Linked DNA regions of Callithrix jacchus. The protein of the gene in region 1 interacts with the protein of each later gene in a pairwise test. Links are inferred from orthologs where the notes say so. Each region holds a gene or a part of one and is shown on either strand. Other genes may lie near its edges. The genes, in order: TCEA2, MEOX2, KXD1, GOLGA2, TRIM54, GPKOW and TRIM27.

The links.
Region 2: the proteins of TCEA2 (region 1) and MEOX2 interact in binary tests that used the Homo sapiens proteins (3 or more experiments, as listed by UniProt). The two-hybrid records come from large-scale screens. The link is inferred for Callithrix jacchus from reciprocal best matches to the Homo sapiens genes TCEA2 and MEOX2.
Region 3: the proteins of TCEA2 (region 1) and KXD1 interact in binary tests that used the Homo sapiens proteins (3 or more experiments, as listed by UniProt). The two-hybrid records come from large-scale screens. The link is inferred for Callithrix jacchus from reciprocal best matches to the Homo sapiens genes TCEA2 and KXD1.
Region 4: the proteins of TCEA2 (region 1) and GOLGA2 interact in binary tests that used the Homo sapiens proteins (3 or more experiments, as listed by UniProt). The two-hybrid records come from large-scale screens. The link is inferred for Callithrix jacchus from reciprocal best matches to the Homo sapiens genes TCEA2 and GOLGA2.
Region 5: the proteins of TCEA2 (region 1) and TRIM54 interact in binary tests that used the Homo sapiens proteins (3 or more experiments, as listed by UniProt). The two-hybrid records come from large-scale screens. The link is inferred for Callithrix jacchus from reciprocal best matches to the Homo sapiens genes TCEA2 and TRIM54.
Region 6: the proteins of TCEA2 (region 1) and GPKOW interact in binary tests that used the Homo sapiens proteins (3 or more experiments, as listed by UniProt). The two-hybrid records come from large-scale screens. The link is inferred for Callithrix jacchus from reciprocal best matches to the Homo sapiens genes TCEA2 and GPKOW.
Region 7: the proteins of TCEA2 (region 1) and TRIM27 interact in binary tests that used the Homo sapiens proteins (3 or more experiments, as listed by UniProt). The two-hybrid records come from large-scale screens. The link is inferred for Callithrix jacchus from reciprocal best matches to the Homo sapiens genes TCEA2 and TRIM27.

Annotation. Positions count from the first base shown.
Region 1 is NC_133506.1:59,536,019-59,540,268, forward strand, and holds the start of TCEA2 (transcription elongation factor A protein 2), read left to right. Parts: upstream 1-1,450; 5' UTR 1,451-1,564; coding exon 1,565-1,636; intron 1,637-4,230; exon of another isoform or gene 4,231-4,250. UniProt on the Homo sapiens protein: Necessary for efficient RNA polymerase II transcription elongation past template-encoded arresting sites.
Region 2 is NC_133512.1:42,792,488-42,796,787, forward strand, and holds the start of MEOX2 (homeobox protein MOX-2), read left to right. Parts: upstream 1-1,500; 5' UTR 1,501-1,779; coding exon 1,780-2,293; exon of another isoform or gene 2,294-2,334; intron 2,335-4,300. UniProt on the Homo sapiens protein: Mesodermal transcription factor that plays a key role in somitogenesis and somitogenesis and limb muscle differentiation. Required during limb development for normal appendicular muscle formation and for the normal regulation of myogenic genes.
Region 3 is NC_133523.1:17,269,791-17,273,980, forward strand, and holds the start of KXD1 (kxDL motif-containing protein 1), read left to right. Parts: upstream 1-1,390; 5' UTR 1,391-1,654; intron 1,655-4,190.
Region 4 is NC_133502.1:176,872,008-176,875,507, reverse strand, and holds part of GOLGA2 (golgin subfamily A member 2), read left to right. Parts: intron 1-381; coding exon 382-420; intron 421-689; coding exon 690-740; intron 741-828; coding exon 829-922; intron 923-1,019; coding exon 1,020-1,126; intron 1,127-3,500. UniProt on the Homo sapiens protein: Peripheral membrane component of the cis-Golgi stack that acts as a membrane skeleton that maintains the structure of the Golgi apparatus, and as a vesicle thether that facilitates vesicle fusion to the Golgi membrane.
Region 5 is NC_133515.1:87,734,329-87,738,262, forward strand, and holds the start of TRIM54 (tripartite motif-containing protein 54), read right to left. Parts: upstream 2,801-3,934; 5' UTR 2,487-2,800; coding exon 2,319-2,486; intron 1-2,318. UniProt on the Homo sapiens protein: May bind and stabilize microtubules during myotubes formation.
Region 6 is NC_133524.1:49,662,874-49,665,957, reverse strand, and holds the end of GPKOW (G-patch domain and KOW motifs-containing protein), read left to right. Parts: intron 1-26; coding exon 27-96; intron 97-1,578; coding exon 1,579-1,664; intron 1,665-1,761; coding exon 1,762-1,896; 3' UTR 1,897-2,584; downstream 2,585-3,084. UniProt on the Homo sapiens protein: RNA-binding protein involved in pre-mRNA splicing. As a component of the minor spliceosome, involved in the splicing of U12-type introns in pre-mRNAs.
Region 7 is NC_133505.1:2,077,837-2,081,336, forward strand, and holds part of TRIM27 (zinc finger protein RFP), read left to right. Parts: exon of another isoform or gene 1-368; coding exon 369-599; intron 600-1,289; exon of another isoform or gene 1,290-1,418; intron 1,419-3,500. UniProt on the Homo sapiens protein: E3 ubiquitin-protein ligase that mediates ubiquitination of various substrates and thereby plays a role in diffent processes including proliferation, innate immunity, apoptosis, immune response or autophagy.

The DNA.
Region 1 (4,250 bases):
TTTTTTTTTTTTGAGACAGAGTCTTGCTCTTTCGCCAGACTGGAGTGCAGTGGCACGATCTCAGCTCACTGCAACCTCTGTCTCCCGGATTCAAGCGATTCCCCTGCCTCAGCCTCCTAAGTGGCTGGGACTACAGGTTCGCCACCACGCCCGGCTAATTTTTTTTTTTTTTGAGACGGAGTTTCGCTCTTGTTACCCAGGCTCTAGTGCAATGGCGCGATCTCGGCTCATGGCAACTTCCGCCTCCTGGGTTCAGGCAATTCTCCTGCCTCAGCCTCCTGAGTAGCTGGGATTACAGGCACGCGCCATAGTGCCCAGCTAATTTTTTGTATTTTTAGTAGAGACGGGGTCTCGATCTCTTGACCTCGTGATTCACCCGCCTCGGCCTCCCAAAGTGCTGTGATTACAGGCGTGAGCCACCGCGCCCGGCCTAATATTTTGTATTTTAGTAGAGACGAGTTTTCACCATGGCCAAGATGGTCTTGATATCAGCAAATCACCTGGCATCTGTGTTACTGAGGAGCTGGCAGGCATTGGTGGGCATGCTGGCCCTGCCTTCTCCTTGTCCTAACCCTCCCCAGGCCTGGCCCATCTCTCTGGCTGCCTGCAGTGTGGTCCTAAGTGGGGACCTCCAACAGCAATGGCAGTGAACACTAATTGTCACGCTCCATCCCCCGCTCGGTTCTCAGGCATGTGATGAGAAGCAGCTTACATCACCTTGACAAGAGCCCTGTGAGGCTGACAATCTCGTCATTCCAGTTTCACAGGTGGGGAGACTGAGGCACAGAGCAGTCAACGTGCAGAGCCCAGCATCTGCTCCCGGGTAGCTGACTGTGGAGGCAGGAGCCTTGCCCACGCACCCTCTGCAGGGGCCCCCGGCACCTCGCGAACCCCAGCACTGGCCCCTTCCAGACGCCACGTCCAGCTACTGCGCACTCATACCTGCAGGCCCCCCAAACCTCCTGGAGAGGTGACATCCCCGCAGAGGCCCAGTGACCCACACTCGGCCCTGGAACGCTGGGGATGGCCTTCCAGGTCAAGGCCGGTGTGCGCGGGGCTCAGCGGGGCCCAAGAGCAGGTCTGAGGGCGGTAGGTCCTGAGCCACCCACCGAAGGACGCCGGGGGAGAGCAAGACCCGAGACAGGAGGAGAGAAGGGGGCGGACTCCGGACCTACTGGGCCCCAGCCGCTCGGGGCTGCCTGAGCTCCGGGAGGGACTTGCTGAGGGCGCTTTCCTCGCGGGGCATTGTGGGATCACGAGTCTCTGGCGGCAGCGCGTCAGGACTACACTTCCCAGGAGACTGTGCGCGCCGCATGGCGCCTGGGGGTTGTGGTTCAGAACGCGGCGAGCACGGGTGCGGGGAGCGGGGCGGGCGGGCGCGTGGACTACGCGTCCCAGGATGCCGCGCGCGGCCGCGGGGCGAGGGTTTGAACCGGGGTCTGCCGCCCGCGGCGGGCCTGCGTCGGCTGCGGCGGGTGCGGGAGGTGGCGACGGCCGGGGCTGGGGTCCCAGCCAGGCGGCGGAGGTGGGCGCGGCGGCCGCGGGGGGCGCTGCTCCTGAGGTGATGATGGGCAAGGAGGAGGAGATTGCGCGGATCGCCCGGAGGCTGGACAAGATGGTGACCAAGAAGAGCGCGGTGAGGGGCGCGGGCCGCCAGGACCCCGGGACCCCCGCCCCGCCGAGACCCCGTCGAGCCTGCCGACCCCCGTTAGGGCCGGAAGACGACCTGAGGGGCAGGACAAGACCCCTCCCCGGCAGAGACTCCCGGGACGCAGGGAAGACCCCCACCCGTGGCCGAGACCCCTGCCCCGGGCCCGCCCTGCCGTTCACTCCCTCACTCCCGCATCCCCGGGAGAGGCCGCACCTGGGCCTGGACCTTGTCCCGGGAGCCACCTGCTCTGGACTCAGCCCCACCTCCCCGCCCGCAGTGACAGGCTTGCACCCTTCCCTGTCCCTTAACTGCAGACCCGAGCCCGGCCCCTCCCCGCCTCTCGGAGCCCCCGGGGTGTTCTGGCCTCCCGGGCCCCCTTGCCTTCCTCCGTCCGGGCCTGGGCATCCTCACGGGCCGAGCCCCGCCCCCAGCTCAGCCCTCTCCCGTAGCGTTTGTCACCGGCAAGAGTCTGGAGTCTGAGGTCCCCTTTTCCTCTGGAGCTTTTGTGCCTCCCCTACCTCTTCCCGGCCCTGGTCGTCATCCTTCACAGGCCCTGTCTGTCCCCACCCCGCAAGAACCAGGTTTCTCTAATAAATTCTCTCCCTTCTTTAGCCAGGATTTAGCCCGCAGCAACTTGGGTTGTGGGTTGTTATGTGGATACCCCCGGAAAAGAGCCGGTGTGCTTATATAAGACCCAGAAGGTCGGGCAAGCCTCCCCCGGGAGTGTCTGACCAGCTCTGCTCACTGCGGCCTGGGCCTCTGTCGTCTTGCTGCCACGGCAGGACTTTGGAGGAGGCTGTGTGTGAGGCCTTTGAAGGGGCCAGGCCCGTGGGGGTCCAGTTCCACTGTCATGACCTTGGCGCCCTGTGCACCTTTGCACAAAAGCATCTTTAGAGGATGGTGCCTGTCTCCTGGGGGTGGGGAGGGGTCTGGTCACAGGTCAGGTGGAGCTCCTGGCCGGTTCAATAAATGTGGCCTGTGCTTTCCCACCCAGACTGTGAGCTCCTAGAGCAGGGCCAGCCCAGGGCGGTGAAGGTGGCTGAGTCATGGGCTTTGGGTGATTTGTGCAGCTACACCAGGGCTGTGTGACTGCAGTAGTGGTCTTTGGGGGGAGCTTTTTGGGCTGAGCAGGGTTGAGTGTGGGTTCCTGTTGACCAGGGTTTTGGGCTGGGATCTGCACTGGGAAGGGGTGGGCTCCCACTCATTTCTGCTGGGTGCAGCACTGCCATCACTGCATTCACATGCACCCCGGGAAACTGCTCAGCACAAAGTAGGGGTCTGTGAACCTTCTATAGCTGTTTCCAGAGATGACCTGAGAATGGAGTTATTTCCCCTCTTAAAGGAGACAAAACACAAAAGAGAAAAACTGTAGGTGGGAGAAGCAGGGATGGGTCACAGAGCCAGGGGAGGGCTGGGTGGGGCTCGAAGAACTGACATTGGGGGTTCTGATGGAAGAACAGCTTGAGTAGAAGCCCCAGGAGAGAATGAGGAGGGGGAAGAGGGCCAGCAGAGCCTCCTGGGGGGTCCCAGTGCCTGAGGTCGCCTGGGGGACTTGAGGGCCAGGCTTGGTGGTTTTTATGTCCCTTATCCTGAGCCCACTGAGAGTCACATAAGCTGGTGCAGAGCTTTCAGCAAACAGTGCCCTTGGCTCTGGCGATCACCTCAAGCTTGGACTCTATAGCCCAAGGGGCAGGGCCTGCCTGGGAGGGTTGATGAGGGGCTACAGCATGAGGAGAGATGCCTCCCAGATTGCTGGGGCTGTGGGGGGGGGGACAAGCCCCTCCCATGGCCTCTGGGTTGTGGGACATCTGATAGATCATCTTAGGGCAGAGAGAATGATACACATGTGGAAACACAGGCATGTGCTTTAGAGAAGATGGGAGTATTGCAGGGCGCAGTTGCAGTTTTAAATAGGAGAGGCCTTGATGAGAAAGTGTTGTTTAAATAAAGCCTGGGCGGGAGACAGGGAGGGTGCTGTCCTGGGAAGCCACCCCAGGCAGTGCAGCTGCAGGTGCAGAGGCCTTGGTGGTGGCTCGGTACCCTTGGGGAGCACGGAGGAGCTGTGCCTGGTGTGGAAATTTGACCAGTTTTACGCCTGCCTCATCTATGTGTGAGGACCCGGAGGAAACGCAGATCTTGGGTAGGGAGACAGGCAGAGAGAACGGTGCATTGCAGCTGTCCAGGCAAGGAGTGCTGGCCAGCTTGGGGGCAACTCAGAAGCCTGGAGGATAGATGAGGAGGGGGGCTGTGGGCCTTGGAGGTGTTGGCTGTGGCTGTGCCTGAAGTGGAGGCACCCCGAGAATTTGGCCTCAGCTGGGGACACTTATGTTCCTGGGTTGGCCTCACAGCCGGTGGGGGGATGGGTGCTTTGGGGGAGGCTGTCCTGCATCAGGGCATGAATGCACAGGGGAGTGAATGAACCTAGGGCTGCCCTTTCACCTGGGTGCGGCCCTGGCTGCTGGGGAGGGGCCATGGCCCTGAAGCCTCCCAGTTTGCCGGGGGGGCGCTGGCATTTCTGTTCTGGTTTGGGCCAGTGACCTGAGGTGGCTACAATGAAGTGGGTGTGGTCGTTGCCTCAGATGTAGGTCACAACCTGGAA
Region 2 (4,300 bases), on another chromosome or scaffold:
AAAGAAAAGATAGGCTTAAACAGGGGGACTGGAAGAGGAGAGGAAAGGTTCTGCTTTGGGGACACCTCTCAAAGATTAATCAATACTTTTTCCTAATTCAAACCAGATGTCTAGCCCAGTTTGCTGTACCCATTAATCCCATTAACAACTTCAAAGACCTGGTCACCATCCTCTGGACACCTGAGACAATGAAAATAACAGGGCGACACTGCTGGTGGTGCAGTCGGGGCTCCGGGTGGAATAGGTGACTACAGATATTCTCCTGATCCGACACGTCCCAGATCCGACGTGACTGTTCCTCCTGCTCATTAAAGCCCATTCACTTGTGTATAAACGACTGTGCCCCAGCGGATCTTGTCGCTCACCAAGCAAGTGGCAGTATCAAAGCCCTGCCCTCGCTCTCCCATGCTTACTGGAGGCAAGTTATCGAGTTTATTTTCAGGGATGCAAAGATGTAATCAAGCGCCCAAGCTTAGTGAATTCTTAGAGCTATCGAAATTTAAGATTTCTCAGTAAATGGAGCAGTGGTGTTAAGAGACACGATTAGTGGATTTATTTTTGAGCAGAAGAGTGGATTTCTAGAGGGAACTGAAGAGACCTGGGCTAGCTCCGGAGGGGAGAGGCTAGAAATGTGCATGCAAATCTACACATCTCATGTGACTGGGACAAAATCGCTTGGAAATAATTCTTGACCCAGGAAAATTTCTTCTTGGTGGACGAGTGGCTAGGAAATTGAGCGAGACCAGGAAAGCGGGGGGGAGGGAGACTCCACCGGGCATCGCACGTGAGGATGCCAGAGAGCAGGCATCTGCAATTCGCGCTTACCTCCCACCCACCCCACCAGGTCTTCCTTAGGTCTTCCTCTCAGGTCTTTCCGCACTGTGAACCACACTTTCCAGGCCATGGTGCACGTCCCCGAAACCTCAGACCTGGCGTCCCAGCCTCTTAACCACCACCCACAGAAACTAACTGCGAAAACCTAGGCGCGCGGCGGCGCCCTGGGCACGGGAAGATGCGAAGTTTGAAAAACTTCCAGAGTGCGCCAGGCTAGCTCTGATCTTTTCCTTTAACCCTATCACTTCTTTCGTGTTCCTCAAAGGCTAGGCGTATCCCTAGCTTTTCTGCAGGTGACAGTTCCCAAATGACACTGACAAGTTACGTTTTCCCAAGAGAAAAATTAGTAGGTGGGAAACAGGGTGCTGGGTTGGCGCTGGTGCGCGCCGCGCCCTGGCCTCCAGAGTCTGGAGGGCAGAGCCGCTGCCCTCCCGGGCGGGATTTAGACGCTGGCGCGCCGCTTGTAGTCCTGGTAGCTGGCAGGGCTAGGCGGGCGTGGACGCTCTGCGTCTGTCCAGCCGGCGATAGGAAGTGGAACTGGGAGCGCGTGGCGCAGACTGAGCGGGAGTTTTGGAGGGAGTTTGCATGTGGTCAACTCTGGGCTCCTAAGCCAGCCCCCAGCTCACGTTACAGTCTATTTATAACCTCTCAGAGCCATTTCCCCCTGAAGGCAGTTCACTGGGACCACCTTCTTTTGGCTTCAACCTCTCCCACTCTTGACATCTGAGTAGCTCAGGGAAGCTCTTCCAGGTCCGACTGTTCATATGTAAAGGAGACTGGCCGTTAGGGCTCAGGACCGGGATTATCCGAGCTCTGCAGAAGTGCACGGCTATTGCTTTGAGAGGGGTAAAAAACATCACACGGTTTCCAGTGAAAAGTGACAGAGGGTGGTGGCCTTTAGAACCGCCGTGAAGTCTTCTGCCTGGAACCCGAAACTTGCATGCTATGGAACACCCGCTCTTTGGCTGCCTGCGCAGCCCTCACGCCACGGCACAAGGCTTGCACCCGTTCTCCCAATCCTCTCTAGCCCTGCATGGAAGATCTGACCATATGTCTTACCCCGAGCTCTCTACTTCTTCCTCATCTTGCATAATCGCGGGATACCCCAACGAAGAGGGCATGTTTGCCAGCCAGCATCACAGGGGGCACCACCACCACCATCATCACCACCATCACCACCATCAGCAGCAGCAGCACCAGGCTCTGCAAACCAATTGGCACCTCCCGCAGATGTCCTCCCCACCGACTGCGGCTCGGCACAGCCTCTGCCTCCAGCCCGACTCCGGAGGACCCCCAGAGTTGGGGAGCAGCCCGCCTGTCCTGTGTTCCAACTCTTCCAGCTTGGGCTCCAGCACCCCGACCGGGGCCTCGTGCGCGCCAGGGGACTACGGTCGCCAGGCACTGTCACCTGCGGAGGCGGAGAAACGAAGCGGTGGCAAGAGGAAAAGCGACAGCTCAGGTAAGAGAGCGCCAGGCACCCTCGAGAGTGCGCGCCGGCCTGGAAAGGGGGCGGGGAGATGCCAGGGAAGAGTCTGGCCCTGGAGGGTGGCGGCGGGGAAGAGGGGAATGTGTTAAATTCGGCGGTGAAGCTTTGGTCCTGTTATTTGGGGGCACGTGTTTATCCGAGAGCAACACAGCTAGCAGCTCTAAGCTCTCCAAGGTCCTAAACTAGTTTACCAGAAGGTTGATAAAAAAGGACAAGTGGCTGTGAAATCGATTGCGAAGCGTGACCTTCCATCCCAGCGCGGGGGAGGGAGGGGCGTGTGCCCAGGGATGCCGCGTCCGTTGGGCAGGCGTGCGTGCGTGCGGGTGCTGCTTCTTGACTTTTCTCTTGCAAGTTCCCGACTCTGAGTGGCTTGACTTTTCCCATCGTAAACTGGATTTCCAAATTATTGCACAATATTTGGAACTTGCAATGGAACTTGGCAGAGCACATGAGAAAAAAAAAAAAGTTTTAGTTTTTTTTTTTTAAACATTCTTGTTTGAGAGTTCTTTAAATAGCACCCTATTTCAAATGGTAAAAATTTCCCCTTCTTAGGGAAGAAGATATTATCTAGGAATTCAGATTTTAAGGAATGTGTCAGAGAATTGTAAATAAATACATGCTCACGCTGGAAGAAAGACGAACCTTAATATAGTACATGTTCATGTTGTGTAAGTTAATTACAGAATCTAAATTTCAAGAGTGGAAAATAAATCCCTCTACCAAGTTGGTTTTAGCTGCGGCAAATACTGGGTAGCGAACAGCAACTTGGGTAGTGTCAGTTAGCTACGTGCCTGAAGGTCGTATGCAAGGGTGCGCAGGAAGCGCTGATTTCAGTGAGGATAATTTGAGCAGCCACGCAAAAGGGGAATCTTCCTGACCTCTGGTGCTTGAAGGCACAACTTGCAGAGTAAATTGTAGCAATCCAGAGAAACTCAAAGTTTTCCAGACAACTTTTCAAAGCTCTGACCTACTTCTATTATCATAAAATTGTTAAAAGATACTTTAAAATTGAGAGACTTGTGAGTTTTCTTTCGTGGCTATGGTGCACCCTGGCTTCCATCTTTTTGGAAGGTATTATTTGTTTAATATAATATTTGTATATTTTTCTTCCTCTGCGGAACTGGGTTAATAATAGTCCTAGAAGGTAATCCCATATATTGGTTTGAAGGATTGGAATGTTTATGCTTTTTAAAGCTTTAGGTGAGATGTCACATAAATGAAAATGATTGACCGCATGTTTAATATTCCTCTCCCCTTCGCAGCAATATCAATCGTTCTTCAGCGTTAGTATGGGATAGATTCTTCTGTCAGAAGAATAAAATAACTTTTATTTTCCAAGGATAGGGGATGAACTTTTAATGTTCAATCACAAATTAGTTTTTATAAGAAAGTTAGCAGTGGTGTCACTGATATTTACTGTATTTTCCTAACTATAAGTGAAACTCCCTTTAGATAGTGGAAGGTTAATCGTTGTAAGAAGGTTTCAATTTTTATTAGAAAAACCGTCGATTTTAGAATGCAGTGACAATTTTATAAACTGAACATTCGATATCAGTGTAACTTTTGAAAGAGATCCCAGTTCAGGCTGATGAGAGTACTCTTGCAATTCCCATAAGCCCTTACTGTTCATTTTATTTTTCTGCAATGAGAAACCTACATGATAGCCTTATGCTTCCGGAACTGAGCCACTGCCCTTAAGTTTCTTAGGGCAAACAATTTTCATGCAAGCACATGTTATTTTGTTTGGGGGAAACCAAGAAAATGGAATTCAATAACTGATTTCCTTAATTTATTTTAATAAAACTTTTTTTTTTAAAAAGGAATAATTTAATAACATTTGTCTCTTCCCCCAACTGTGTGGGAAATAGCCATTTAACAAAATTAAGTTCATTTCTACATGTTGAAGCTGATAATGAGGGTAATGGAAAAACAAACAAATATAAGTGTTTGTGTCAGCTGAATAAATTATGAATAAATTAA
Region 3 (4,190 bases), on another chromosome or scaffold:
TCAGCCTCCTGAGCAGCTGGGACCATAGATGGGGCCACGGGCCCATTTTATTTTTTTCTTTTTTGTTTTGAGACGGAGTTTCGCTCTTGTGAGGTTCTCGTGAACCTCACAGGTTCACGAGATTCTCCTGCCTCAGCCTCCCAAGTACCTGGGATTACAGGCGCACACCACCACATCATAATGAAACCCTGTCTTTACTAAAAATACAAAAAATACAAATAATTTTTGTATTTTTAGTAGAGACAGGGTTTCATTATGTTGGTCAGACTGGTCTTGAACTCCTGACCTCGTGATCCGCCAGACTGGGCCTACCAAAATGCTGGCATTAGAGGCGTGAGCCATGGCACCGGCGAGATCCTATTTTTTATTGTTATTTTTAAAATTATTTATTTATTTATTTTGAGACGGAGTTTCGCTGTTGTTACCCAGACTGGAGTGCAATGGCGCGATCTCGGCTCACCGCAACCTCCGCCTCCTGGGTTCAGGCAGTTTTCCTGCCTCAGCCTCCCGAGTAGCTGGGATTACAGGCACACGCCACCATGCCCAGCTAATTTTTGTATTTTTAGTAGAGACGGGGTTTCACCATGTTGACCAGGATGGTCTCGATCTCTTGACCTCATGATCCACCCGCCTCGGCCTCCCAAAGTGCTGGGATTATAGGCGTGAGCCACCGCGCCCGGCTGAAACTTCATCTTAAAAACAAACAAACCAAACGAACAAACAAAAATCATTAAGATCATGAAAGACGTGGAGAACCTGACACAAATGGTGGATTGGGTAAGAGACTAAGGAGACATGACTAAATGCAAATGGAAATCCTTTTCCTTTTTTTCTTTTAGTTTTTTAGAGGCGGGGTTTCTCCATGTCAGTCAGGCTGGTCTTGAACTCCCAACCTCAGGTGATCTGACCGCCTCGGCCTCCCAAAGTGCTGGGATTACAAGCGCGAGCCACCGCGCCCGGCCGGAAATCCTTTTTCTTATGGAGTTTCGCTCTTGTCTCTTAGGCTGAGGTGCCGTAGCACCGGCACCACCTCAGCTCTGCTGATTCCCTGCCTGGAAAGCAGGACACGCGGGTCTGGTTTGGCCACAGACCACTGGAGCATTTACGATCTTGGGGACTGTTGCCGCTCTGGGCCCTCAGTCACACCATCTATAAGATGGAACTCTTCTTTGAGCGTTCCCTCTGCCAGGCTGCTCTGAACCCGGGGTTTCGGAAAATACGCAGGCGCAAGCCGAACTGCTTGATTGGCTATTCATTGTGACCACCCGCGAGCTGAAGCTGCGTCTAAGCTCCGCCCTTTCCTGTCGTGACTCCAAGCACGCAAGGGGTTCCAGGATACGTCGCCGCCACGCGCGCTCGCACGATCGGTGCGTGGTGACGTTGCGCCGGCGCGGGCGCCATCCCGGAAGCGCGAGCGAGGCCGCCAGATGTGCAGGTGCCGCCGCTACCGACGCCGGGGCCGAGTTTGGGGTGGGGCTGGGGACTTCAGGGCCGCGGGGAACCGGGCCGGGTCGGGCGCGGCCCCCGGGCTGCGGTGGGGTGGGGTGCGCCGCTGGCCACATCTGGTCACTCCTGCTGCGCACAGGCCTCAGTTTCCCCGTCTGCGCAATGGATACACCTGCGGCGCCGCGGGCTGGATCTGGATCCGGATCAGGTGTATAGAAATAGGAAGTGGGGCCGCCTGTGTTCTGGGTGTGCCGTGTAACCTGGAGCTGGGCGTTGCCCGGCTTGTGCCTCAGTTTCCCCGCATTGTAGGTGACGGGGCGTGAGGGGATATCTGAGCTCCTCCCCACTTGGGGTTTTTCAGAGCTTGGATGGCGGAGTTAAATTATGTTAAATAATCTGGATAGAACCGTTGTCCTGCTCTGCCTCTCCGTGTGAGTTTTGGCAACTGCGCCCACTCTTGTGAGCCTCAGTTTCCCTCGTAGGTGATTGCGTCTGCCTCATAACGGTGATTGAGGATTAAATGAAGTGCTCTACAAGTGTCTGTCCATAATATATTCTTAGAAGCCCTTGGGATGCTCTCTAAATGTTGACTCCTGGGCCCTGTCCCGGTACTCCTTCACACTCCTCTTGGAAAAACAGCCCGTTCTGAGCTCCACTCGTTATCACCGTTGGTTTCAATTCTCACAGACAGCACTGTGAGATCTTCATTCCACCCTTTTCCCATTTTATGGTTGAAAAAACTGATTCAGAAGGGTGAAGTGGCTCTCCTAAGGTTAAACAGCCTACGTTTCTTCAATAAATCCACATTTGGAGTTGGGATCAGAGCCCTTGCTTGGTCAATTTCACTAGGTGGGCCAGACTAGCAGTAATCAGGGAAGGCTTCTTGGGAGAGGAAACTGCAGGGGGAACAAGAGGGAGGTGCCATAAATCAGCCCTCACATCTGGGAGTCAGAGACAGGAAAGATTTCTGTTTTGAAGTAGGGGTGTATCCCAGAAGGTCCCAGTAACTGTGTCCCACTGCCACTAGCTACGGGCTTCCTTCCTTTCCAGGTGTCTTTTTTTTTTTTTTTTTTTTTTGAGACAGAGTTTTGCCCTGTCGCCAGGTGTCAGGCTGGAGTGCAGTGGCATGATCTTGGCTCACTGCAACCTCCGCCTCTCAGGTTCAAGCAATTCTCCTGCCTCAGCCTCCCGAGTAGCTGGGACTACAGGTACACGCCACCATGCCTAGCTAATTTTTATATTTTTAGTAGAGACTGGGTTTCACCATGTTGGCCAGGATGGTCTCAATCTCTTGACCTTGTGATCCACCCGCCTCCCAAAGTGATCCGTGATCAATCTCTTGACCTTGGATCAATCCGTGATCTGAAGTCAATCTCTTGACCTCATGATCCGGCCTCCCAAAGTGCTGGGATTACAGGCGTGAGCTACTGCGCCCCACCTTTTTTTTTTTTTTGAGACGGAATTTCGCTCTTGTTACCCAGGCTGGAGTGCAATGGCGTGATCTTGGCTCACCACAACCTCTGCCTCCTGGGTTCAGGCAATTCTTCTGCCTCAGCCTCCTGAGTAACTGGGAGTACAGGCACGCGCCACCATGCGCAGCTAATTTTTTGTACTTTTTAGTAGAGATGGGGTTTCACCATGTTAACCAGGATGGTCTCGATCTCTTGACCTTGTGATCCACCCGCCTCGGCCTCCCAAAGTGCTGGGATTACAGGCGTGAGCCACCGCACCCAGCTTTTTTTTTTTTTTAATTGAGATGGAGTCTCCCTTTGTTGCCCAGGCTGGAATGCAGTGACTTGATCTCAGCTCACTACAATCTCTGTTTCCAGAGTTCAAGCAATTCTCCTGCCTCAGCCTCCTGAGTTGCTGGGACTATAGGTGCCTGCCATCATACCTGGCTAATTTTTGTATTTTTAGTAGAGACGGGAGTTTTACCATGTTGGCCAGGCTGGTCTTAAACTCCTGACCTCAGGTGCTCTGCCAGCTTCAGCCTCCCAAAGTGCTGGGATTACAGGCGTGAGCACCCAGTCCAGGTATCCTCTTTATACAAGAGCATGCTTCTTTGGGAATGTGGGGACTGTGGGTGTCTCTGCCTGGCATGTCACAGGAGTTCAATAACCATAGTAATTATTGGAGGGGGGTTTCACTGGGTGTGGCATTGTATTTCTAGAAGGTGCTGCAAACCACTGGCCAGCCAGATTCAGATCACAAAGAGATACCCTTGGCCTCCATGATATTTTGGGAAAAAGTATTCATTGCTAACATTTGTCAATGAGTCAATTTCCTAGAAAAAAAAAATCCTTCAGAGGTCATACAGAAATCAGCTGCTGTAAGAAGCCACTGTCCTGTCACTGCTAGATATTGTGCATCTGTTAAGATCCACACATTTGTGAGACCTCTGGGCTGTGGACATTTGTTGTGACTTAGGTTCACTGCTGGGATTGTGACAGTGTCCCAGTTCTTTAGTGTCCCTGATCCTCCATTTTCTCATCTATAAATAAGGATAGCAGTTAGTATGTATGAGCTTGAATAAATAGGAGAGTAGGTTAAGTGAGCTCTGAAACCCTTTATTTTTGGGGGGAATGGAATCTCTGTTGCCCCAGCTGGAGTGCAATGGTGTGGTCTCGGCTCACTGCAACCTCCACCTCCTGGGTTCAGGTGATTTTCCTGCCTCAGCCTCCTGAGCAGCTGGGATTACAGGCGCCTGCCAGCACACCCAGCTAATTTTTGTATTTTTAGTAGAG
Region 4 (3,500 bases), on another chromosome or scaffold:
TTTCTGTCTTATATCCCTGCTATTAAGAACTGTATCTGGCCCGTATATGCTCAGCAAATGTTTGTTGAATGAATGCACCTTTCTAAATCACAAGCTGGCAGAAGGGTGGCCTTTTCTCACACTTCATCTCTCGAGGTTTATGTTACTGTCCTTTCAAGAGAATCAGATCCAGACCCAGTTCTGTGGCTGTGGGCAAAAACCAACAAAGACCCAAATCCCTTTTCCTTGGGAGCCTGAGGAGAGTTTACCAGTTTGTGTTCCCATTGGGTCTGAAAACTTTGCCTTTAAAATCCATTCCTGGCCCCTGCCTACCCCTTCCTGGTCTGGGGAATAGAGTTGAGGGGACCACCCTCAGTCACCTTCCTTTGACTCTCCCCACAGAAACAACAGAACCAAGAAATTACGGATCAGTTGGAAGAAGTAACGTGATTTCTTTGTTTGCTCACAACATGACTGCTGGGTTTGGGGGGCATTCAAATGTAGAGGCCTCAGTCTCATCTCACCCACTCCCAGCCTGGGGAAGAAGGTCACCACCACCCCCAGATTCCATCCCATCCCCACAGGGTCCCTGATAACTTGGTCCTATGGGTGGGCCTGTCCTGGGGCATTGGTGGCATTCTGGGGGCATGTCCCTTGCTGTGCCGTCTCTGCCTTCCCCAAGTAAGAGCTCTGTCTTCCTCATCCTGTAGGAAAAGAAAGAATGTCACCAAAAGCAGGGAGCCCTAAGGGAGCAGTTACAGGTGAGTGGAGGGTGCGGAGTTCCCTCCTGTTCTCTGGAGAATGTTTCTTTCCTTCTTTTTCAGCACTTGCTTGACTTTTCTCCCAAAGGTTCACATCCAGACCATAGGAATCCTCGTATCAGAGAAAGCTGAGTTACAGACAGCCCTGGCTCACACTCAGCATGCTGCCAGGCAGAAAGAAGGTGGGAATCTGGGTACCCCATCATCCTTCAGCCTGGCACTTTGATAGACCTTTAGAGGGGAGTCCTTTGGGCCCCATCTCAACCTCTCTCATTCCAGGAGAGTCCGAAGATCTGGCCAGCCGCCTGCAATATTCCCGGCGGCGTGTGGGAGAGTTGGAGCGGGCTCTCTCTGCTGTCTCCACGCAGCAAAAGAAGGCAGACAGGGTGAGTCCAACTCCCTGCCCCGTTCCCTGGCAGGCTGGCTTCCCAGATGGAGGAGTGAGCCTTAAGGTCCCTTTTGCAGGGTGGAGTGTCCTGCCTAGAAGGCAGTATGGGCCATTTCTCACTCCTTTTGTGGGTGGTTGTTAGAGGCAGCCTGGGGCTGAGTCAGCTGCTGTGGGTGAGTTGAGAAGCACTGGGGAGCAAACACTGAACACAGAGCTCAGAGGCCAAGTGCCTGCCCTTCCCTTTCCTGGTTGTGGCCTTGGCCAAGTCGTAGGTAGGGGATATGATACTTGTACTGTGAAGATACAGAAGAGTATCTTTAGTGTGTTACCATTTGTGTAGAGAGAGGGAACATGTGTCTGTGTGTGTGCGTGCTTGCGCGTGCAAGGATTCATTAAAAACTCGAGAGAGGAACAGCATGGCTGGGAGATAATTCCTTTCTGTACCTTCCGAGTTTTGGACCATGCAAATGTATCATCCTTTCTTTTTCCTTTTTTTCTTTTGAGACAAGAGTCTTGCTCTGTTGTCCAGACTGGAGTGCAGTTGTGCAATCTTGGCTCACTGCAACCTCCACCTCCTGGCTTCAAGTGATTCTCCGGCTTCAGCCTCCCAAGTAGCTGGGACTACAAGCACATGCCACCATGCCCAGCTAATTATATATATAAAACAAGTCAGGTATGGCGCATGCCCGTAATCCCAGCTACTCGTGAGGCTGAAGCAGGAGAATCGCTTGTACCAGGAGCTGGAGGTTCTAGTGAGCCGACGTGGCACCACTGCACTCCAGCCTGGATGACAGAGGGAGACTCCGTCTCAAATAAATAAATAAATAAATACATACATACATACATACATATGACTCTGTCTCAAATAAATAAATAAATAAATGAATTCATGTATATATACGTATATATATGCATGTGTGTCTATATATATATATATATATATATATATTTTTTTTTTTATTTTTAATAGAGACAGGGTTTCACCCTGTTAGCCAGGATGGTCTCCTGACCTCGTGATTCACCCGCCTTGGCCTCCCAAAGTGCTCAGATTATAGGCATGAGCCACCACGCCCAACCTGTATCATCCTTTCAAAAAGTGAACAAAAGATTACCCCCTTCCTATCTGTGGCCCCACCCCCAGAGAACAAATGGACTTAGAGAATCAGATATACCTGGGTGTTCAAATCCCAGCAAATCCCAGCTCTGTCTAAGTGATTTTAGGCAAGCACTTAACCTCTAATACTAACATGTTTTTGTATGTTTGTTTGTTTTGAGGCAGAGTTTCGATCTTGTTGCCCAGGCTGGAGTGCAATAGCGTGATCTTGGCTCACTGCAACCTCCACCTCCTGGGTTCAAGCGATTCTTCTGCCTCAGCTTCTCAAGTAGCTGGGATTACAGATGCCTGCCACCACGCCTGGCTAATTTTTTTATTAGCCATCTCTACTAAAAATACAAAAAATTAGCCAGGCGTGGTGGCATGCCCCAATAATCCCAGCTGCTTGGGAGGCTGAGGCAGGAGAATTGCTTGAACCCAGGGGGCAGAAGTTGCAGTGAGCAGACATTGTACCACTGCCCTCCAGCATGGGCAACAGAGTGAGACTACATCTCAAAAATAAATAAATAAATAAAAATAAAAATACGGCCAGGCGCGGTGGCTCATGCCTGTAATCCCAGCACTTTGGGAGGCCGAGGCAGGTAGATCACGAGGTCAAGAGATCGAGACCATCCTGGTCAACATGGTCAAACCCCGTCTCTACTAAAAATACAAAAAATTAGCTGGGCATGGTGGTGCGTGCCTGTAATCCCAGCTACTCAGGAGGCTGAGGCAGGAGAATTGCCTGAACCCAGGAGGCGGAGGTTGCGGTGAGCTGAGATCGCACCATTGCACTCCAGCCTGGGTAACAAGAGTGAAACTCTGTCTCAAAAATAAAAATAAAAATAAAATAAAATAAGATAAAATAAAACAAAAATAAAAAACAAGTCAGGTGTGGTGCATGCCTGTAATCCCAGCTACTCATGAGGCTGAAGCAGGAGAATCGCTTGTACCAGGAGCTGGAGGTTCTAGTGAGCTGACTTGACACCACTGCACTCCAGCCTGGATGACAGAGGGAGACTCCGTCTCAAATAAATAAATAAATAAATAAATAAATAAATACATATGACTCTGTCTCAAATAAATAAATACATGTACATACATACCTACATACATATATACATAAATATGCTCTCTTTCCCTGTCCCTTCCATCCTTACTAAGTTCTTTTTTTTAAAAACAAATGAGACTAGGCTGGGTGTGGTGGCTCACGCCTATAATCCCAACTCTTTGGGAGGCCAAGGCGGGCAGATCACGAGGTCAGGAGTTTGAGACCAGT
Region 5 (3,934 bases), on another chromosome or scaffold:
AAGCCATTCCCAGGTCTCTTTGAGTCCAAATCAGTATTCTAGAGCTTTCTGGAACCAAAACTGTGCTTGGCTAGAGAGGGTTGACTTGAATAAGCAGGTCACTTAAACACATTCTAGACTCAATGTATGGGGCCCTCTGCCAGATGACAGAGGAACCCAGGAGTGCACTTGGACATTCTGACCACTTTTCCACAGGACATGTCACCTTCGCTTTCAAAACTTCTCTTTGCTTTCACACATTTCAAGTTCCAGTGACAGGATGTTTCACTCTAAGTTCATGAGAAAGGATGGCAAAATCTTTCTGCCATTCCCTCCTAGGCATCTCAGCCTGAAGGATATTCAGAGTTACTAAGACCAAGGAAAATCCAAGACGGTGGGCAAGGCATTGCCTCTCATGGAGGACTTCATGCCCAGGATGAGGAGGCACAGCGTTTGGTCTAGGCCCCCTGAGAGGGAAAATCTACTGGCTCTGAGATACTCTGGAGCTGAATAATGGCAGATTTGGACAATAAAGAATAGGAGAGGGAGGCCGAGCGCGGTGCCTCATGCTTGTAATCCCAGCACTTTGGGAGGCTTAGGCGGGCGGATCATGAGATCAGGAGTTCGAGACCAGCCTGGCCAAGATGGTGAAACCCCATCTCTACTAAAAATACAAAAAAAAGAAATTAGCCGGGTGTGGTGGCAGGTGCCTATAGTCCCAGCTACTCAGGAGGCTGAGGCAGAAGAATCGCCAGAACCCAGGAGGCAGCGGCTGCAGTGAGCTGAGATCACGCCACTGCACTCCAGCCTGGATGACAGAGACTCCATCTAAAAAAAAAAAAAAAATAGGCTGAGCACAGTGGCTCACACCTGTAACCCCAGCATTTTGGGAGGCTGAGGTGGTTGGATCACAAGGTCAAGAGATCAAGACCATTCTGGCCAACATGGTGAAACCCCATCTCTACTTTAAAAAACACAAAAAATTAGCTGGGCATAGTGGCACATGCCTGTAGTCCAAGCTACTCGGGAAGCTGAGGCCGGAGAATCGCTTAAGGAAGCAGTGAGCCAGGATTGTGCCACTGTACTCCAGCCTGGCAACAGAGTGAGACTCCATCTCAAAAAAAAATTAAAAAATAAAATAAAATAAAAAATAAAAGAATAGAAGATATAATGGGCCTCAGTGGGAAGATGGCAGGAGGGACCACAGAGTGCTGGTCTTCAGTGAAGATGCCACACAGCAGACACACAAGGGTCGGGTCACAGGGCACAGTGTGGGATGGCCTGACCTAGCCAGCCCATTCCTTCCCCAAACAAGCTGCCCCAAGGAACTTAAAAGGGAAGTATTCCTTGACTAGGCTAAAAATCACTTGTGTTTAACACATTTCCTCATCATTTCTGACACGGATGAAGAATACTTGTTTGGGATGTCCCGTGTCACTAACACACATACTAAGCCAGCCAGCGTGGTCTATTTTGGATTTTTACTCATCAGCTAGGCCGTGTGTGTGTGCGCGTGCCTTTGCCCCGTACTCTCCCTGATCTCTGTTCCATAGCCTACTAGAACCCCCTCAGTGGCACAGGACAAGAAAAAAAAAGCCCACTTAGAATCCATTCTGGTACATGCTTTTACTTCTAAACCAGTGGCTAAAATGGTATCTGTGAATTTGATTAGCTATGCTTGGCCCCATGACCACAAATAATCCAAAACTGGCTAGACTTCTAAGAAGTCAATTTCTTCACTGCCCTCTCTCTGCTTGTTAAGTGATCTCGATAGCTTGTAACCAGAAGGCCTCTTTACTGAATGACCTAGAGGGTGACACGTATGAACTTAAGTTGGGGAGAAGTCCCAGTCTCCTGCCTACCATATCTAACTCTGTCCCCACAATGGATGCACTGAACTTTCCTTAGTTTTATTGCCACTGTGGAGCTTTCTCACAGGGTTAGGTTTTATTTTACTTATTTTTTAACATTTCATTATCTCATTAATCTTTTCTCCAGATTTTCCACAATGCACTCAAAGTCTGAAACTCCAAACTGGACTGCAGAGTCTGGGAGTCCCCTTCCCTCCCAGCTTCCACAGGGTCTCCTTTCCTTGGTAGATCCCAGCACTCCAGCTGCTGGCCACACAGGCTATACATGCCAGCCTGCGGGCAGCTGCTGACTCATGCTCACTCTGGGATTTGCTTGGACCCCAGCACTTCTGCTCTCCAGCCACAACAGCCACCACCCACCTCAAAGAGCACTCTATCCATCACCTTCTGGGGTCTCAGCTCTGATCTGATCGGTCCCCCACAGGTCTGCCTTGTTTTACCTGGCCCTGCCCCATCCCTTATGCCCACCTGGAAGACGTCGTTGGCACACTTGCGGCACAGGTTGTGTTGGCAGGGCAGGATCACCACCGGTTTGGAGAACATCTCCAGGCAGATGGGGCAGATGAGCTGCTTCTCCAGGTTATCCATGCTGTGTGCATCCCCTAGCAGCGGCTTGAAACCCACTGTGAAGTTCATCCCCTCGATGGTCGCACCTGCCCTGGCCTGGGCCCTGTTCCTGGCCTTCACTCACTGTCTGCAGACCCTTCCTCGCTTAGACAGCCTGTGGATTCCCTTCTGTGGCGCACTCTTGAAATAGCACTGCTATCTCTCCTGTCCCTTTCTTTAACAACTTGTCTCGTCCCAGAGAGCAGTCTTTAGACACTTGTCTTTCTCTACTTTCTGCTCTGCACCCTCGCCAGGCTCACGTAGTTTTATCTATCCCTTTCTCTGTAAAATTCTCCTGTTTCCTAAATGACCCTCTCTTGTTCACTCTGTGGGTAGCACTGTTTGTCCCTTACTCCCCAGAGACAAGATTAATTTTACTGTGGGGGTGGGGAGACAAGGGGCATCTGCATGACATTCCAATTCCCAATTTAGCTCATGTAAGGCGAGCCACAGCTGTCACAGAGTGAGTGACCCTGACTCACTCAGGAATGGGTGACTCCCTTGAGCAAGAGCAGGGGCAAGCACCACTGCTTACGGTGAAAGGTGGGTCAGCAAAGGGTCTGCCCTCTCACTCTGAAGGCTCCTCTGAGCCCGGGAACCCTGCTCTGGCTTGGGCCTTTCTTCCAGGACCGGGACACAGAATCTAAATCGGCCTGTGTGAGAGGCACCCATACATAGCTTAGGGTGGGAGGAATGATCCTGCCAGACTTAGAGTCAGTAACAGTTTCCTCCTCCACAGGCTCAGCCAGTGACCCAGGTCCTCCTCCTCAAGACTCTGTGATTCAGAACAGCAGCTCGAGGGATGACATCAAGCCTCTTGTCCAACACCTTGGGCTCATTTTTGTTCTTGCCCAGCCTTTTCTTATATCACCCTAGGAAAAGAAGCTCAAGAGGCTAGAAATGACTGTTGTGCCATAGCCTGGACCTATCTATGAGCATGTCCCTGAGGAAATGTGGGATTCTGGTCCATGAACACATCCCTGGAGCCACTCCAAGGACTTCAAATTTGTTAGGAAATTGGGAGAAGGTGAGCTGGGCAGAGAGGACCTGAATGCCAGGGACCTATTTTGGGCACCCAGGGAAACAATCTCCAGGGAAATTTTAGAGCACTGACAAAGTCATAATCACAAGTCTCTGGGGAGCCTCTGCCCCAGCCCCACAGTTGTTCGGGACTCCTACTTTCCAAGCCAGGCTTGCCCCAGTGTGAGCACTGACTTTTTCTCCTACACGTCTTTTTCTCCACTTGATCTTAGCCAAAGGGCCAAGAAGCAATTTCTTTAGGCCCTTTTTCTTCACCCCAGACACACATAGTTTGTCTTTTTCAGGCCCAACATATGCCTTGGGACTGGACAAAGCTCTTTTATTTACTGACATTCTTTAGCCCTTCTCCCAGTCCAGGGAGAGAAGTTTCAGGAGTTAGTAGGCTGTGACCCTGAGTGGGTGGGAAATACATGGTGTGAAGAGGACACGAAATAGCA
Region 6 (3,084 bases), on another chromosome or scaffold:
CACATCCCCCTGACCTGTATCCCCAGATGATAATTGAAGATGTCCTAAGCCCAGATACCTGTGTATGTCAGACAGATGAAGGCCGAGTCCTGGAAGGTGAGTTTGAGTGATTGCAGCTGGAGCATGATCATCCTGGAGGTTGATCAAGAAGAGTGTCTTAGGCCCAGAGCCTGGCCCAGGCAAAGCTGGGAGGTTGGGCAGAGTTCAGGTATTTTGCAAGGCCTAGCATCCTCTTACAGAACATTGGACACTTCCATTATGGTAGTTATCTTGAGCCCCACACTCCCGGTCTGCCAAGTTTTCTTTTTCTTTCTTTCTTTCTTTTTTTTTTTTTTTGAGGCACAGTCTTGCTCTGTTGCCCAGGCTGGAGTGCAGTGGCATGATCTTGACTCACTGCAACCTCTGCCTCCTGGTTTCAAGCGATAATCCTGCCTCAGCCTCCTGAGTAGCTGGGACTACAGGCAAGCGCCACCACACCTGGCTAATGTTTGTATTTTTAGTAGAGATGGGGTTTCACCATGTTGACCATGCTGGTCTTGAATTCCTGACCTCAAGTGATCCTCCCGCCTTGGCCTCCAAAGTGCTGGGATTACAAGCCACTGCGCCTGGCCTCCATCTATCAAATTAGCATGGAAATTACTTTCTTCCTCTTGTGATTGGTACCTTGGTGAAGGGATGTGTATTGAGCTCTCAGTGCAGGGCAGGGCTTAGAACATGCCAGCAATAAACGATGGCTGTTCTTATCACTACCACCACATGGACATCCTCCCTTTATTATAGTGATTTTTATAAACTACTCCTTAGGCTTCCTCATCTGTGAAATGGATGTGGTGGGACTCTATCTGTCAACAGGGCATAGAGTGGCTCCAGAGAATACAGGAAAGGCCCTTCTTTTTTTTTTTTTTGAAATGGGGTCTTGCTTTATCACCTAGGCTGGAGTGCAGTGGCACGATCATGGATACTGCCACCTCGAATTCCTGGTTTCAAACCATCCTCCCACCTCAGCCTCCTGAGTAGCTAGGACTCAGGCATATACTACCATGCCTGGCTAATTTTAAAATTTTTTGTAGGCTGGGTGAAGTGGCTCATGCCTGTAATCCCAGCATGCTGGGAGGCCAAAGTGGGTGGATCACCTGAGGTCATGGATTTGAGACCAGCCTGACCAACAGCTCAAAACCCTGTCTCTACTAAAAATACAAAATTAGCTGGGTGTGGTAGTAGGCACCTGTAATCCCAGGTACTTGGGAGGCTGAGGCAGGAGAATCATTTGAACCCAGGAGGCGGAGGTTGCAGTGAGCCTAGATTGCGCCATTGCATTCTAGCCTGGGCAACAAGAGTAAAACTCCGACTCAAAAAAAAAATTTTTTTTTTTTTTTTTTTTTGTAGAGACAAGGTCTGACCATCTTGCCCAGATTGGTCTCAAGCTCCTGGGCTCAAGAGATCCTCCCACCTCAGCCTCCCAAAGTGCTGGGTCTAGAGGTGTGAGCCACCACACCTGGCCAGGAAGGGCCCTTCTGACAGGACCCCGGTTGGGCTGGTCCTTGCTGTGGGCCTCACTCCCCTCTCCCTTACCTGTAGGCCTGAGGGAAGACATGCTGGAGACACTGGTTCCCAAGGCAGAGGGCGACCGTGTGATGGTGGTGCTGGGCCCACAGGCTGGAAGGGTGAGTCTCAAACCTGGCAGTGGAGGTTTGTGGGTCATTCACAGCCTGTAGCAGGGTCTAGGCTGGCCTTGCTGATTTCACTTCACCTCTGTTCCAGGTGGGACATTTGCTGAGCCGGGACAGAGCACGGAGCCGGGCTTTGGTGCAACTGCCAAGAGAGAATCAGGTGGTGGAGCTTCACTACGATGCTGTCTGCCAGTACACGGGCCCTAGTGACACAGATGAAGACTGACCCATGGGACTCCTCCCATCCCCTAGGCTGTTACCAGTTCTGTACAGTATGAGGAAGTTGCCTTCAAGAAGGTGGGAAGATCATTGTTCCATCCTCTACTTCTAGTGCAGTTCTGGGACAAGGACAAGGGACATGGATGGATGAACCAGTAGGGAAGCTAGAAACAAACCCAATATTTACCAGAATTTAGGGTATAATAAAAACCATTTCGGACACTTAATAGAAAGATGTAGCAGGCTAGGCACGGTGGCTCACGCCTGTAATCCCAGCACTTTGGGAGGCCGAGGCGGGTGGATCACGAGGTCAAGAAATCGAGACCATCCCGGTCAACATGATGAAACCCCATCTCTACTAAAAATACAAAAAATTAGCTGGGCACGGTGGCGCGTGCCTGTAATGCCAGCTACTCAGGAGGCTAAGGCAGGAGAATTGCCTGAACCCAGGAGGCGGAGGTTGCGGTGAGCTGAGATCGCGCCATTGCCCTCCAGCCTGGGTAACAAGAGTGAAACTCCGTCTCAAAAAGAAAAAAAGATGTCTCTAGCACTGCTCAGAGGGCAAATTTTAAAACTAAAGTCTGGGTGAAAGATTTGCTAGTTTTACAGAAAGATTTGTTATCTTAAACTCAAGCTGGTTTTTCTATTTTCATGTAAATGACTGGGATGCTGTCTTATAAAATCTTCCAAGTTCATGTTTGTGAAATAAACATTACATGAGAGTTTAAAAAACAAAACAAAAAAAAAAGATGTAATCATAGGCCGGGTGCGGTGGCTCAAGCCTGTAATCCCAGCACTTTGGGAGGCCGAGACGGGTGGATCACGAGGTGGACAGATCAAGACCATCCTGGTCAACGTGGTGAAACCCCGTCTCTCCTCAAAATACAAAAATTAGCCGGGCATGGTGGCACTTGCCTGTAATCCCAGCTACTCATCAGGCTGAGGCACAAGAATTGCCTGAACCCAGGAGGTGGAGGTTGTGGTGAGCCGAGATCGCGCCATTGCACTCCAGCCTGGGTAACAAGAGCGAAACTCCATCTCAGAAAAAAAAGAAAGATGTAATCATAAGTGGTATCATGAGCTGCGAGTTAAGGTGGGAACTGAGTTGACTGAGGTGGGAACCATTTCATTTTTCAGCCTTGCTTTCCTGCCCAGGGTACAGGACAAGTTAAAGGACTCATTTGATTATGAGCTC
Region 7 (3,500 bases), on another chromosome or scaffold:
TCACCATGTTGACCAGGATGGTCTCGATCTCTTGACCTCGTGATCCACCCGCCTCAGCCTCCCAAAGTGCTGGGACTACAGGCTTGAGCCACCGCGCCCGGCAGATTTTGTCTTAATAGTCACTGGGGTAACTCAGTTCCTGGCCATTACACATCCAGTCAGTAAAGAGTGGCAAGAATGAGTTAGCACTGTGCTTGTTTCTTTTGTTTGTTTGTTTGTTTGTTTCAGTCTTTCTAAGGTTCAATTCAGGTACACTGTGCTTGTTTCATCCATGATGAGGTCTTGGGGTGGGCGACCAGGGGAGAAATGTGAAGGCCCCAGAAATGAGCCATGTTTCTCTTTACTGCCTTTTCCTGTGGTCTGCACAGAGCCTAACCCAGATGGAAAGGGAGAAGATTGTTTGGGAGTTTGAGCAACTGTATCACTCCTTAAAGGAGCACGAGTATCGCCTCCTGGCCCGCCTTGAGGAGCTGGACTTGGCCATCTACAATAGCATTAATGGTGCCATCACCCAGTTCTCCTGCAACATCTCCCACCTCAGTGGCCTGATCGCTCAGCTGGAAGAGAAGCAGCAGCAGCCCACCAGGGAGCTCCTGCAGGTAAGGCTTACGGAGCTCTGCCAGAGCAGCATCCACTGAAAGTAGCCTCCCTTCTTCCTTTGCCAAGTAGTATCCAGGATCCCCTGTCTTCCTATTAGCTCTCGGGAATAGCAAGAGTTTGCCACACTCTGCATTGTGCACCCCGGAAGGAAACTATGTAAACTAGAAGTTCTGGTTGGCACAACGTGGATTAGTCAATTGCGTTGTCTCCTGAGAATGGCAAAAAGACCTGGTGCTTGGGCCTGCTTAGCACTGACAAGTGGTCTGATCACAGGCAAGGCTCTCCACTTGGGCCTCAGTGACCTCATGTGTTAACAATGAGGGGCTTAGATCACATGTCATTCAAACACTCTCTTCACTCCAGTATCTTGTAGTTTTAACATATGACTGTGGCCACCTGAGCAGGAGTGAGCACCTGAGCAGGAGTGGTTAGGTTCGCTGAGGGGTCTTGTGGTCTAACCCTGGAGAGCTGGTGATGAAGCTGCACAGACCTACCCCAGCAAAGCCACAGGGAACAAGCTAAGGCTTGTCTGTCGTTTGCTCATTCTGTGCATATTATTTGCTCTGTATCAGGCACCATTCTAGGCCCTGGGATTAAGAGCTGAATAAACTTTCCTGAATTATATTTTAGTGTGGCGATCAGACAGTTTTTATAAATATTGATAAAAGCTATTAAAAATTTATGATGGCAAGGTGTGCTCAGAGCAGGGGGCCTGAAGAATGGCTCTTCCGTTTATAACACACCCAACAGGAATCTGGAGTCATTGTGATGAGAGGCATGAAGCTTGTGGCCTCCCTAAAAACAAATGCTCTACATGTGAAAAATATTAAAAAAAAAAAAAATTAGGCCAGGCGCGGCGGCTCATGTCTATAATCCCAGCACTTTGTCAGGCCGAGGCGAGTGGATCATGAGGTCAAGAGATCGAGACCATCCTGGTCAACATGGTGAAACCCCACCTCTACTAAAAATACAAAAAATTAGCTGGCCACGGTGGTGGGCGCCTGTAGTCCCAGCTACTCAGGAGGCTGAGGCAGGAGAATTGCCTGAACCCAGGAGGCGGAGGTTGCGGTGAGCCGAGATCGCGCCATTGCACTCCAGCCTGGGTAACAAGAGTGAAACTCCGTCTCAAAAAATAAATAAATAAATAAAATAAAAATTGATGATGGCATAAGGCAGGAGCCAGCAGATTATGGTCTGTCACCTGTGTTTGTATGTCCTGGGCGACAAGTGTGGTTTTTACATCTTTACATGGGAAAAATCAGAGAAATGTATTTTTTTTTTTATTGTTTTTCTTTTCTTTTCCTTCCCCTTTTTTTGAGATGAAGTCTCACTCTGTCTCCCAGGAGGAGGGAGCACAGTGACACGATCTCAGCTCACTGCAACCTCCACCTCCCAGGCTCAAGCAATTCTCCTGCCTCAGCCTCCGGGTAGCTGGGATTACAGGTGCCATTCACCACACCCGGCTAATTTTTATATTTTTATTATAGACGGGGTTTTACCATGTTACCCAGGCTGGTCTTGAACTCTTGACCTCAGGTGATCCACCTGCCTCGGCCTCCCAATGTGCTGGGATTACAGGCGTGAGCCCAGCCAAATGTATTTTATTATATGTGAAATTATATTCAATTTAAATTTAGTACTCATAAATTTTTATTGGAACTCAGCCGTGCTCATTTGTTTTGTTACATATTATCTGTCATTGCTTTTCTGCTACACCAGCAGCGTTGAGTTGTAGCAGAGATTATATGGCCCACAAAGTCTAAAATATTTACTGCTTGGCCTTTAAAAAAGATTGCCAGCCGGGCGCAGTGGCTCACGCCTATAATCCCAGCACTTTGGGAGGCCGAGGCAGGTGGATCACGAGGTCAAGAGATCGAGACCATCCTGGTCAACATGGTAAAACCCCATCTCTACTAAAAATACAAAAATTAGCTGGGCATGGTGGCGCGTGCCTGTAATCCCAGCTACTCAGGAGGCTGAGGCAGGAGAATTGCCTGAACCCAGGAGGTGGAGGCTGTGGTGAGCCGAGATTGTGCCATTGCACTCCAGCCTGGGTAACAAGAGCGAAACTCCGTCTCAAAAAAAAAAAAAAGAAAGAAAGATTGCCAACCCTTGGTTTAGAATAATAAAAGACCGCCGGAACTGTAATGAACATCAGTATGTGACAGGGAGAAACGGAAGAATTTGCAAAGAGGACAGTTGGCCAGGGAGGTAAAATGTGACCAGGCCTGTTTGAGGAAGGAGGGAGTGGACACCATACTAATGCAATTGAGGTGAAATTACATTACTGTGAATTGCAAAGCTGGTGCAAATTTGATTTAATAGCATGACCGTTATTATGTAGACCTTCTGTAGAACTGTCACAATGGAATAACTGGGGCGGGAGCCATATTAGAGGGAGCTGAGTGAGCAGGGACTGGAGGAGACTGCACAAGTAGATGACTGAGGAGAGGGTGTAATAAAATACCTAGAGATGAGGCAGGATGATGGAGTTTTATCTGGAGCAGGAAAGGAGTCTATGTTGTAAGGTTTCCAGGTGAGAGAGAGGGAACACTGACGTCGCCAGAAACGATACACTGATGAACAGTGCGTGGTTCCTGAGAAGGCAGGTGGAAATGAGAACTAAAGTCTGTGTGCCAGGAATTAGTTTCAAGGGTCTTCTGTTCCATGGAAACAAGTTATTGTTTCAGAGTATGGGAAAGTCACTTGGCCTGCGAGAACCAGGAGGAGTGTTTGGTCAGTGAACATCTATTTATAGTGTAACCATTCTGCCCTGTTGTGTAACTTTCTTAGCAGCTTTGCTTTCTTAAATCTTGACGGCTGTGGCACAGGCAGTGAGAAAGTGGATAGTCTCATCCAGGATTGGGTTTTGCAAGATGGATTTGAGGGTTTTTTTCTTC